Linked DNA regions of Drosophila melanogaster. The gene in region 1 interacts genetically with each later gene. Each region holds a gene or a part of one and is shown on either strand. Other genes may lie near its edges. The genes, in order: Pkn and cpb.

Region 1 (5,302 bases):
GCGCGAGGCCTTGAGGCGATCGGCCTGCTCGCGGTTCTGTTTCACCTTGATGATGCGCAGGCGCAAAAACTCAATCTTGGCCTTCGAGTCGGCCAGCATCTGGTGGGCTTCCGCCAGCAGCTTCTTGTCGCATCCGATGCCCAGCGACTGGATCATGTTTTCCGCCCCGGTCTTCACCTTCATCTCGATCTGCAGCTGCTTCTCCAGCGAGGCGAGCACTTTGTCATTGGCAGTGGCCGGTGCGCCGCCCTCCAGAGCCGTGTTTCCGCCGCCCAAGCCACCAACTGCACCGCTGACCAAGAAGCCGCCATTGGGATCAATGCAGGCAGTGATCGATTCTGAAAGATATCGGAAAGATTAGATTCTATTTTATTCTGAATTTCGTAAGAAGTATTGAATGATAGAAACCTTTCATAGATTTAGATACACAGAGTACAGCACAATAAGTATTCTATCAATACCAGTTTAGGATAAGGACTTTTAAACCCACCGTAAAGAAAGAATTTCGCTTGTCAAGTTAGAAACAGCTGTTGTATTATTATTTTAATAATAAATAAACGGTAACCAAAAAATCAATCAATCAGCAGTGGTGTTCCAAATTTTCTCAGCAAAAATGTCCAAAACTTGTTTATGCCCTTTTTCTCCCATTGTTTATTTTTGAAAGGCCATTTGTTTGGCACAAACTAAAAATGTGTGTGTTTGGTTCTATATGCGCCAGCTATTTATTCAAAGAGAATCGGCATTTGTGCAGCATTCTTCGACAGCTGCCAAACATGTCAATCGTCTGACATATGAAAAGTCGACTCTGGCGCCACACAATGCCACATTGGAGGGGTTCTTGTGGGGCAAATGCTTCTGTTGGGGGATTGGCCAAACACGGAAGCAGATATATAGAATGCCAGAACGCTGTCTCCATTCGGAAATGTAAACAAACCAAACGTATCACACTTACGGCAGTTGTGTCAATAGGTTGGCTCACAAAAACCGAAGAAAACGAAGAAAACATTTCGTCCGTCGCCGAGACTATCACAAAGTGTTTTGTTAAAGATACGAGGGCATATATAAAGCGATAATCAGATCATTAACACCCAGCACAATGTTCACTTGTCACCACCATGAAGCATTAGGTGATGGGCCAAAAAAAAATGTGGTAAAGGTAAAAGAAAATGCGTGACAAAGACTCGTAAAAGACGGACTTAACCATTCCCAAAGCCCCGAACAATTGCAGCATTCGTGAGGTTTTGATGTCACTCTCTTTCGGAAGTAAGTACTTTCATTTTTGTTCGGCTTTTTATTTTGGTCAAAAAAAATTTCAATGGTTTCATAATTGAAACTATTATTAATTATAGCTTTTAGCTACTAAATTACAGCTTTATTATAAAGCAATTTTAAACTGTCCCTGCTCTAAATATCACTTAATTTTAGGAAACTACTTCATACTTTTAGTCCATTGGAAACAAGTAATACAAAGTTTTGAATACACATCTTTACAAAATCTTTGTTTATAATAAACAGTTTTATACAGAATTTACTCATTCCTTTATTTAAATTGCTTGCCCGGAAACCACGTGACCTAGAAATCCGAACTAGCCCAGGATATACCAAACATTTTGGTTGATTGAATTACACTTTACAACCAGGTTGAAATTGAATTAACCAACAACCTTATCTTTATCTTCTACACAAAAAGGAACATCTTTCAACTTCATTGCAGTGTCCAAACTTTTTCTTGAAGCTTGTTTTGGTTATAGCTTCGTTAGTGACCCCGCCCCTTGGCCACGCCCTCGTTTTTATTGGGAATACACTTGACTCGTTACACTTGCCCACAAAACTTGTTGCATGAAACTTTTGCTCTCGTATAATTGCAACAGTTTATGTCTGGCTTTTAGTGGGTTTTCGAAACGAAAAGCGAGACGACGGTAGAAAAAGTTACCCAATCTCTATGGGAATTGATGGATGCTCACCTTGTCCATTACTATTGACGGCGGTGTTGGCCGATGTCAGGAGGATTTGACTCTCGAGCTCCTGCAACTCGGACTTCAGCTCGGCAAGTTTACTTTTGCTCTTCTTGACAAGAACGGCCACATCGCTGAGGGATCGTCGATCTTTAGCCACCTCGCGGAGCTTCTCGGCGCCCTCTTTGATCTTCAGCTCCTTGCGGATCTCTCGCCGAATGGCCTCCTTGATCTCCTCCAGCCGTATGGACATACAGCTCTCCGGCAGATTCTCTGTGAAACCATATTTGTGACTGAGCTCGTACAGAACGGGATGCTTGATGTATTCGCCCTGTGGGTGAGAAAAAATGGGAATAAGAAAAAGGTTATACACATATTCGTAATTAAATTCGATTCAAGTTTTTGAAACACAAACAATAAAAAACGTATACTGCGGCACCTCTTGGAGAAGTGTGACATCTTTATAGACTGCAGTCAATTTAATTAAAAGCCAAAAACTGCAGTTGAATCAAACAAAGTTCATAGTGAAATACTATGCAGTATTTGAAGTGCATGATTGGCACAAAGAATTTAAAACCCAAGGAGATGAACATACTTAGAGAACTGTATCCGAAATATGAAAATATAATGGTTCTATAGTAAAAAAAAAAAAAGTTGTAACCTCCAGCCGACATCGTCTTAAAATCTTATAAAATGTTATCCAGTTTTGTTCGACTAACTCACTTCTGCAGATATCTCATAGTTTGAACCGTTCACCGAATCGGTGTAAAATACGGCACCACCACTGTCGCCTTCGTTGTCAAAGTCATATGAATCTTCCGGTCCGAAGACATTGGTGACCAGTCGATTCCACAGACCACTGTTTGATCGCCGGGCGGTCGAGTGTCTATTGCTCCTTCGGGGCAGCGAGTGGCACTTCCTGCGAGCAATGAAGCCCTCTGAAGCGGATACCGAGGTGGTATCTTCGCGATCCCGCTGGCTGCTTGGATTGATCATGCTGCGGATTCTCTTCACCAGTTTGGACATTATTCACTCGGGTTTCTCGTTAATTCGCCGTGTTTATTACCTCACTTTGGTCATTTTACAGCCGTTTTGTGTGCGCTGACAAGTTCACGGTAATTAGCTGGAACAGGCTGACCCACAAAACAAATACACACGCTTTTATTCACACGACTCCGACTGCCGCTTATCTGGAAAATGTTTTTTGCCTCCCCCTCCGGGTTCTTCTGCCTTCTTGTGCTTCTTTTTCTTGTAGTTCAACAAGTTTCTTTGGCTTTCTCATTAAGCGGTTCTCGATTGCTTCTGTCTGATAGCCACTCGAGTCTTTGCCGGGAAAAGTCGACAAAGGTGTCACTTGAAACAAGCGAACAAGCCGACAGTAACTGCTATGCAAATTGGAATTCTAATCGATCGATCGTTTTCAATTGAATGTCATCGTCTTTGCTACACTTTCTCGGTGAATTTAGATATCAGAATGAAGTTAAACTGTTTGATAGGCGAAAGTCTGCTTGAATGGAAAGCCAGTTGGCAACCAAAATCAAAAGGAATTCAATTAAACGCGTTGATTTAATGCACGTGCCTTTATATTTTATTCTTTTAACTTGTGAGTTCGCGTTCTTTCTTATTCGTCTTCAGTTGCTCAACTAAACACTATTTCCTAAGAACAAAGCAGAAAAGTTCTGCTACAAAAATTACTCAATTTATCCAACCATTCAGACAATATCTTAAATGAAATTCAAAAATTCTATTCTCCTACAAACTCATTCATGAAGTTCAAGTTCATTCTTATCTGTCAGATACATATGAACCCATTTTTATGTTCTTAAAAACAACAAATTAAAGCAATTGAATTTTCCCGCATTCACAAATTGGGTATTTAAGGGCAAACCGCCTGAACATATTTACACAATGAGCCATAGGCAACAAAAGTTACCCAGTTGTGCTATCGATTGAATATGTTTATTTTCAATTCCTGTTGAAATCTACGTTCTGCAAAACATGTGCATATATGTATGCCCAAACAAAGTGGCAAGTGCAGAGAGGTACAGAGTAAACACTATTCAATAAACAATTGTTTATGGAAAACTCATTATAAATATTTTTGAATTCGTACCACCTAACGAATGGTGAGCTTGGTGGGATTTTTATTAAGAAACGTCGCCAAAGGGATAGAAGTAATATTATTTTATTTTTTGAGATTGTCAGATTTCCGTTTTTCACAATGAATCATTGTATATGTATTGGATTTCTTCACTGTAGGGCTAGCTAATGCGACCCTCAAACTTGCTAGTTATTTCTCAAGAGGTTCTTGCACCATTAAAATGGCCCTGAATTGGCAGAAACCTAATAAAGGAGTGCGTAACGTTTTCTTATCACAGAAACTACTGATAACTTTGGCAGAAAACTTTGAATTCCAGGCCCGATTGTTTACACTAATACATTTTGATTCACTCTTTACCCCACACCACACAGTTAATTTTTTTATTAGTTCTTTCGCAGTTCATAAGGGCAGAATCATCTGCCATTTGGATGACTGGCACTTCACAGATAGTTATGTTAATATTTGTAGCACTTGTTCAGATTAATAACCAGTAATTAGGTGACACCTCTGAGTCACCGTTATCAAGCTCCGGTGGGAAATCGGAATTAACTACGCCCGTCTATAGTCGAACAGTTACTGAGAACATCCAGCTACCCGAGCGGCTAGGTGTGCACCAGTGTTTGTGTGTGTGTGGGCGTGTACTTGTGTGTGTGGCTTTGTTAGGGAGAAAAATCGAAAAACGAATCGTGGCGAACGGCAATCGTTTAGCAGCAACAGGTTCGTTTGCCGTCGATAAGCTCAAACCACGCAACTCAATTCGGTGCGAACGCAACCGTCTTGGCCAGTGCCGAAACATCGATCTCCTTCCAAAGGAAGATGGTGGTGCACGCACTCAAGTATCTTTTATGGGGGTAATGCGATTTTAAGTAGACACTGCTAATTGCCAATTAGCCTAACATCAAATTCGATAGGAAGCGGCATGCTGCATCAAACAGGCAAGTTGCTAGTGCCAAATGTCAATCCACACTTAATTCCAGCTAAACGCCCACCTACCCAGTTTATTTGGACAGATAAAGTATTAAGCAAGATCGTAAAAACATCGAAAAAAATATATGGTGGCTTCCCAGGACATCATAAGTGCTAAAAGATATATTGATACATCTGATTACCAGAGGCTTAACAAACTAATTTGTATTTTTATAAAATGTATACATCATTTTAAGTGCATTATATATATGAATATAGGACTAAAATAATGTTGTTTAACTATAAAAACATTAATATAAACAATTTTTTTGACAGGTAT
Region 2 (4,386 bases), on another chromosome or scaffold:
GTAATCGTAGTTCCTTCTACGCGCACGTCCTCCCCCCCTCTAAATAAACCTAACTTATTCATAATACCTAGCCTAAGTTGTAGATACCTATGCGACGATCCGAGAACTTAATTTAAAAACTTCGACTTGAATTCTTGTGCTGCTGCCCCTAACTACACTCGCAAAGGTGTATGAGTGAGCTGTTGGTGGTCGCCTCATTGTATGTATATAGCTGGTAACACAAGACGAAACGATCTATATAAATCTACGAGTATATTCTGTAATAACTATGATAAAACGCGACTATGCAAAGATTAAAAGTAATTGTCTAAGTAAGCACACAATCGTTTGCGTCACACACCTCAAGGTATTTAATTACATATTTTTAATCAAACGGTCTCCGATTTTCATAAATAAATGCAAACGTATCTTAAAGGTAGCCATGAACCAAACTCGCCATGTTTTTCTTTAGTCCTTATCTAACTAGCTTATGATATGATATGTCGTGACTAAAAGTAGAATATGGTATACATCGATGGAGTGATGTGTAGTAGTTTATTTTATATATCTTATCTTTTGCGATAATATGATGTTTTCCCCCAATGAAACCACTTCTAGTTGTAATTCAATATTTATTAGTTTCTTTGTATAAAATTTCTCTTGCCTTCCAAATTTCAGTTAAAAAATATTAAGTAAAGAAGAAAGGTAATGTGCATTTCCTCAGATAATACAATCACAAAGCGATTTCAGTTAATATTTTGCTTCGAGCGCCTTACTGTTAGATTACACACAAACACAAAGTTACAATTAATAAACACAATATTTATTCGCGGAAGGATTAAGAACGAAACGCAAGTGCCTCGACTTCGGTGCAAATATGCATTATTACAAATAAGATACAAATACTTATGGATACTGTCTTGAGGGCGGCGAAGTTGGCATTTTCGGCTGAACTCTGGATGAAGCGCGACTCCAAACGGCAACAATGTGGGAGGACAGTTGAAACGGGCGGGCAAAATTTACATTAATGTGCTTCTCGTGGTGTAACAATTTTCTCATGTAACAAATTTACTGCCTAGAAATGCGTATTTAATATTTTTTAGTCAGCTCTTTAGTCCAGTCCAAGCGGAGTCCTCCACGGAGCTGCTCAACACAATTGGGCGAGTAACAGCGAATTGGGTGGGTGCAGCCGAAATATTATGAAAATTATTTATATTTATGACAATATTTAGTGGTGACAACAGTGCCTTGCAATTCGAATATTGCTGCGCTCTTCTTGGGAGCAGCCAGCTTGTGGGACGCCCCTGGACTGGATTGGTTTATGTGGAAATTCAGCCTTCAGCCGCTCAGTACTCAGTTCGATTCGGGCTTGACATTGCGTCGCAGGATTGCCGCTGCGAGGTCCTGCTTCATGGCCGCCTGCTGGCGCTGATCGGCCAGTGATTGTGTGCTCCTTAGTCCGTTCACGATGTCCTTGGTCTTGCCAAAGTAGATCTCGTTCAGGGTGTTCCTGATCTTGTTCTCCATCTCCTCGACCATCTTGCCAATGTTGGCGATGTGCGGCGACGACTCGCTGACGTTGGCGTCCTGCTCCTGCTGCCGGGTGAGGGATCCGCCCAGATTCATGGTTCCCGAACCCTGTTTGTTGGTCTGCAGCCAGAGCATTGCCGTGGAGGTGAGCTTGTAGTGGGCCGTCCTGCCGGTGGTCTTCTCCTGTACCTCGACCACATGGATGGAGTCCCAGCAGCCGCGGATCATCTTGCTGCCATCTCCCGCCTTTTTGATCAGTATAACGGCGGCAAACCCGTGATCCAGATCCCATAGGTAGACGGAGGAGACGCCTCCCTCGTAGTACATCTCCCTGTACTGATCGAAGGCATAGTTCGCCTCGATTTCCAGTTTGCGCAGTCGTTCCGAGGGCATTTGGCCATCCTCCAGCGGCGGATAGTAGGAGTTCGACCAGGGCGATCTGTAGGAGTCCCCATCCCGGTTATAGTCGCACAGCAGATAGTCCTTGCCGTGCTCCTTGTCCTTGGCGATCTTCAGCGGCTGGTCCACGGAGGAGAGCAAGTCCTCGCAGAGATCCGGTGCCAAGTCTATCAGATCAATAAGGTTCTTCTCGATCTGCTGGGGCGGCAGCCTCCGCATCAGATCCAAAGCACAGTCCATCTGCATTTCCGACTGAGAAGAGAGGAGAAGAGACACCAGTGAAATTGAATTTGAGTCACTGCACCACCGCCGATAAGAGAGCCCAAAAAATCCCTCCGCTTTCCACTGCCACCCGGCAAACCAGGGATTACCATATATGGGCATTATTTGAGGCCACAGGCCGCCGCCCCTCTGGAGGTTTTCTCGGTGGATTAGGTGATTGCCAAGAATATTTGGCTTGCAGAATGGGCGGTTCCGACCAAAAACACCGTTTGTTGGCCTGCTTTTTTTTCTTGTTACTATTGTAGTATTACTCACCATTTTGGTACTTTCTGCTTTCCCTTGTTTCGATAGTTTTACACTGTTTATGTTAGGGGCCTGCGTTCGCTGAGCAGGGCCGATCTTAAACTCTAGCTAGGATTTCGGGCTTATATTGCAAGTGATTGCACTAAATTGACTCTTTTTCCTTATTATTAGGATTTTTTATTTTTGCTATGGTGTGCTAGAGCTGGAACACAGCCCGATTATTATGCGATATCGTTCATTTTGGTGGAGCATCGATTGCTCGCTCGATTTGGTATATCGATTTCTTACCCGCTAACTATCTAGCGGAAATATTTGAAAATTAACATAACGAATGGCAGTTACTTACTTACAAAAGGCAATAATTTGCAGTACACTTTATAAAAATAAACTCTGGCACTCAATCCGCCCGAAATAAAACCATGGTCTTACTTTTATTATATTTTAGCAACAAGTTTATTGAATTTAGTTTTCGTTCATATACTTTTATGCTTAATTCCATTCTGGTTGCCCATTTCCTCTCCGTGTTTTGTGAGTTTCTGTTACAATGCGTTTGGTTTGTGTGTGACTGTGGGTTTAGCTTACTCGTAGTTTTTAATATGTTACACAAAAATGTATGGCATAATCGTAAATTTTTATCCGAGTTCGTGTTTAAAATATATTTAAGCTGCTTCGCTTTCGCACTCTTCAGACATACATACATACTTATTTAGAAATCATATGCGTGCTCCGAAAACGTATCCTTCTGAATCGATCCTTGGATTTCTTGATTTTTACATTAATTTTAGCCAAATACGTAGCGTGTGGGATTTTGCCTCGTTAGTAGTAGTAGGTTCAATAAACTTAATTAACCGCTTTGGGCTTAGACTCGCGCTTCAAGTGCGCTCTTTAGGTGTATACTTCGACCATATACGATAAATGTAAAATCTCAGACTTTAATTTTTAACTAAGGTGCACTACATACAGAAATCGTTCAGAGAAATGTGAACTAAATCGAGGGATTTTTTTTCGCAGCTCTGGATTTTTAGCCAGGATAAAAACTGTTACAGGTGACTTGTAAAATTAGGGCAGGTTTCACTAATCTCGAATAACTTAGATAATTATAATTTGTATTTCTTAGTCGTTCTTTTGAAGTTTAATATTTCGGCTAATTAATATTGATTTATTTACTTATGCTCTGTCGCATGCTAGACACTGTGCCAATATTCGAAATCAAAAGCGGTTTCAGATTCAATAATAGTACATAACTCCATTTTCAATCGTATTTCTCGTTTCATCGTTTTTCTTTCGCTCAATAATTATGCAACACTTGCTTATCAACGCTTCTTCGACAATCAAATGTAATCACAGTTTTATGTTTTCCTTCTTTATATAAACTCATTTTCATTTAGCTATTTATTTCACTATTTTCGCATTTCGCGTCGAGTATGTGTGTGTGTGTGTTTCTGTGAGTGTGTTTGTTGTGGCTTGTTCTTCTTGACTTGTGTGGGTGGTAAAACTAAAAATTCTTAGGGCTGGTTTACTACACGCCTAGTCCTCATGTGCTTCAAAAACTCACCTAACCTTCTCTCAATCCTCAATCTTCAATCATCGATCCTCGATCTTCAACCTTTCGGATCCCATGCTTATGAACATCTCAACTCACTGATCCTTGCCATGATCGCATATTAGATTATTAATACTATTACGTATTTAGAAAACTTTAAGAATATTGCACAACTTGTGAAAATGCTGATTCTGACTTCTGACCGACTGCCCGCTCGATTCGTTATAAGTTTTTAAAAATATTTCATTTAATATTTAATACCTGAGTTGTTCATAATCGTTTCGCATGATTATTACATCCGTTTTGCGGTTGCTTTCATAATTTTTTTTTTTTTTATCGTAATACATATCGAAAAAGTTTCTGTTTTTCTTCTCATTATTTATTTTTTTTTTTTGTTTGTATTAAATGCA

What was found.
Region 2: of Pkn (region 1) and cpb, changing one suppresses a phenotype caused by changing the other (phenotypic suppression), as found in Drosophila melanogaster (one study listed by BioGRID).

Annotation. Positions count from the first base shown.
Region 1 is NT_033778.4:9,265,691-9,270,992, forward strand, and holds the start of Pkn (protein kinase N), read right to left. Parts: upstream 3,274-5,302; 5' UTR 2,982-3,273; coding exon 2,679-2,981; intron 2,287-2,678; coding exon 1,965-2,286; intron 339-1,964; coding exon 1-338. UniProt on the Drosophila melanogaster protein: Pkc-related serine/threonine-protein kinase and Rho/Rac effector protein that participates in specific signal transduction responses in the cell.
Region 2 is NT_033779.5:1,703,174-1,707,559, reverse strand, and holds cpb (capping protein beta), read right to left. Parts: upstream 2,659-4,386; 5' UTR 2,449-2,658; coding exon 2,446-2,448; intron 2,430-2,445; exon of another isoform or gene 2,283-2,429; coding exon of another isoform or gene 2,280-2,282; intron 2,161-2,279; coding exon 1,333-2,160; 3' UTR 783-1,332; downstream 1-782. UniProt on the Drosophila melanogaster protein: F-actin-capping proteins bind in a Ca(2+)-independent manner to the fast growing ends of actin filaments (barbed end) thereby blocking the exchange of subunits at these ends.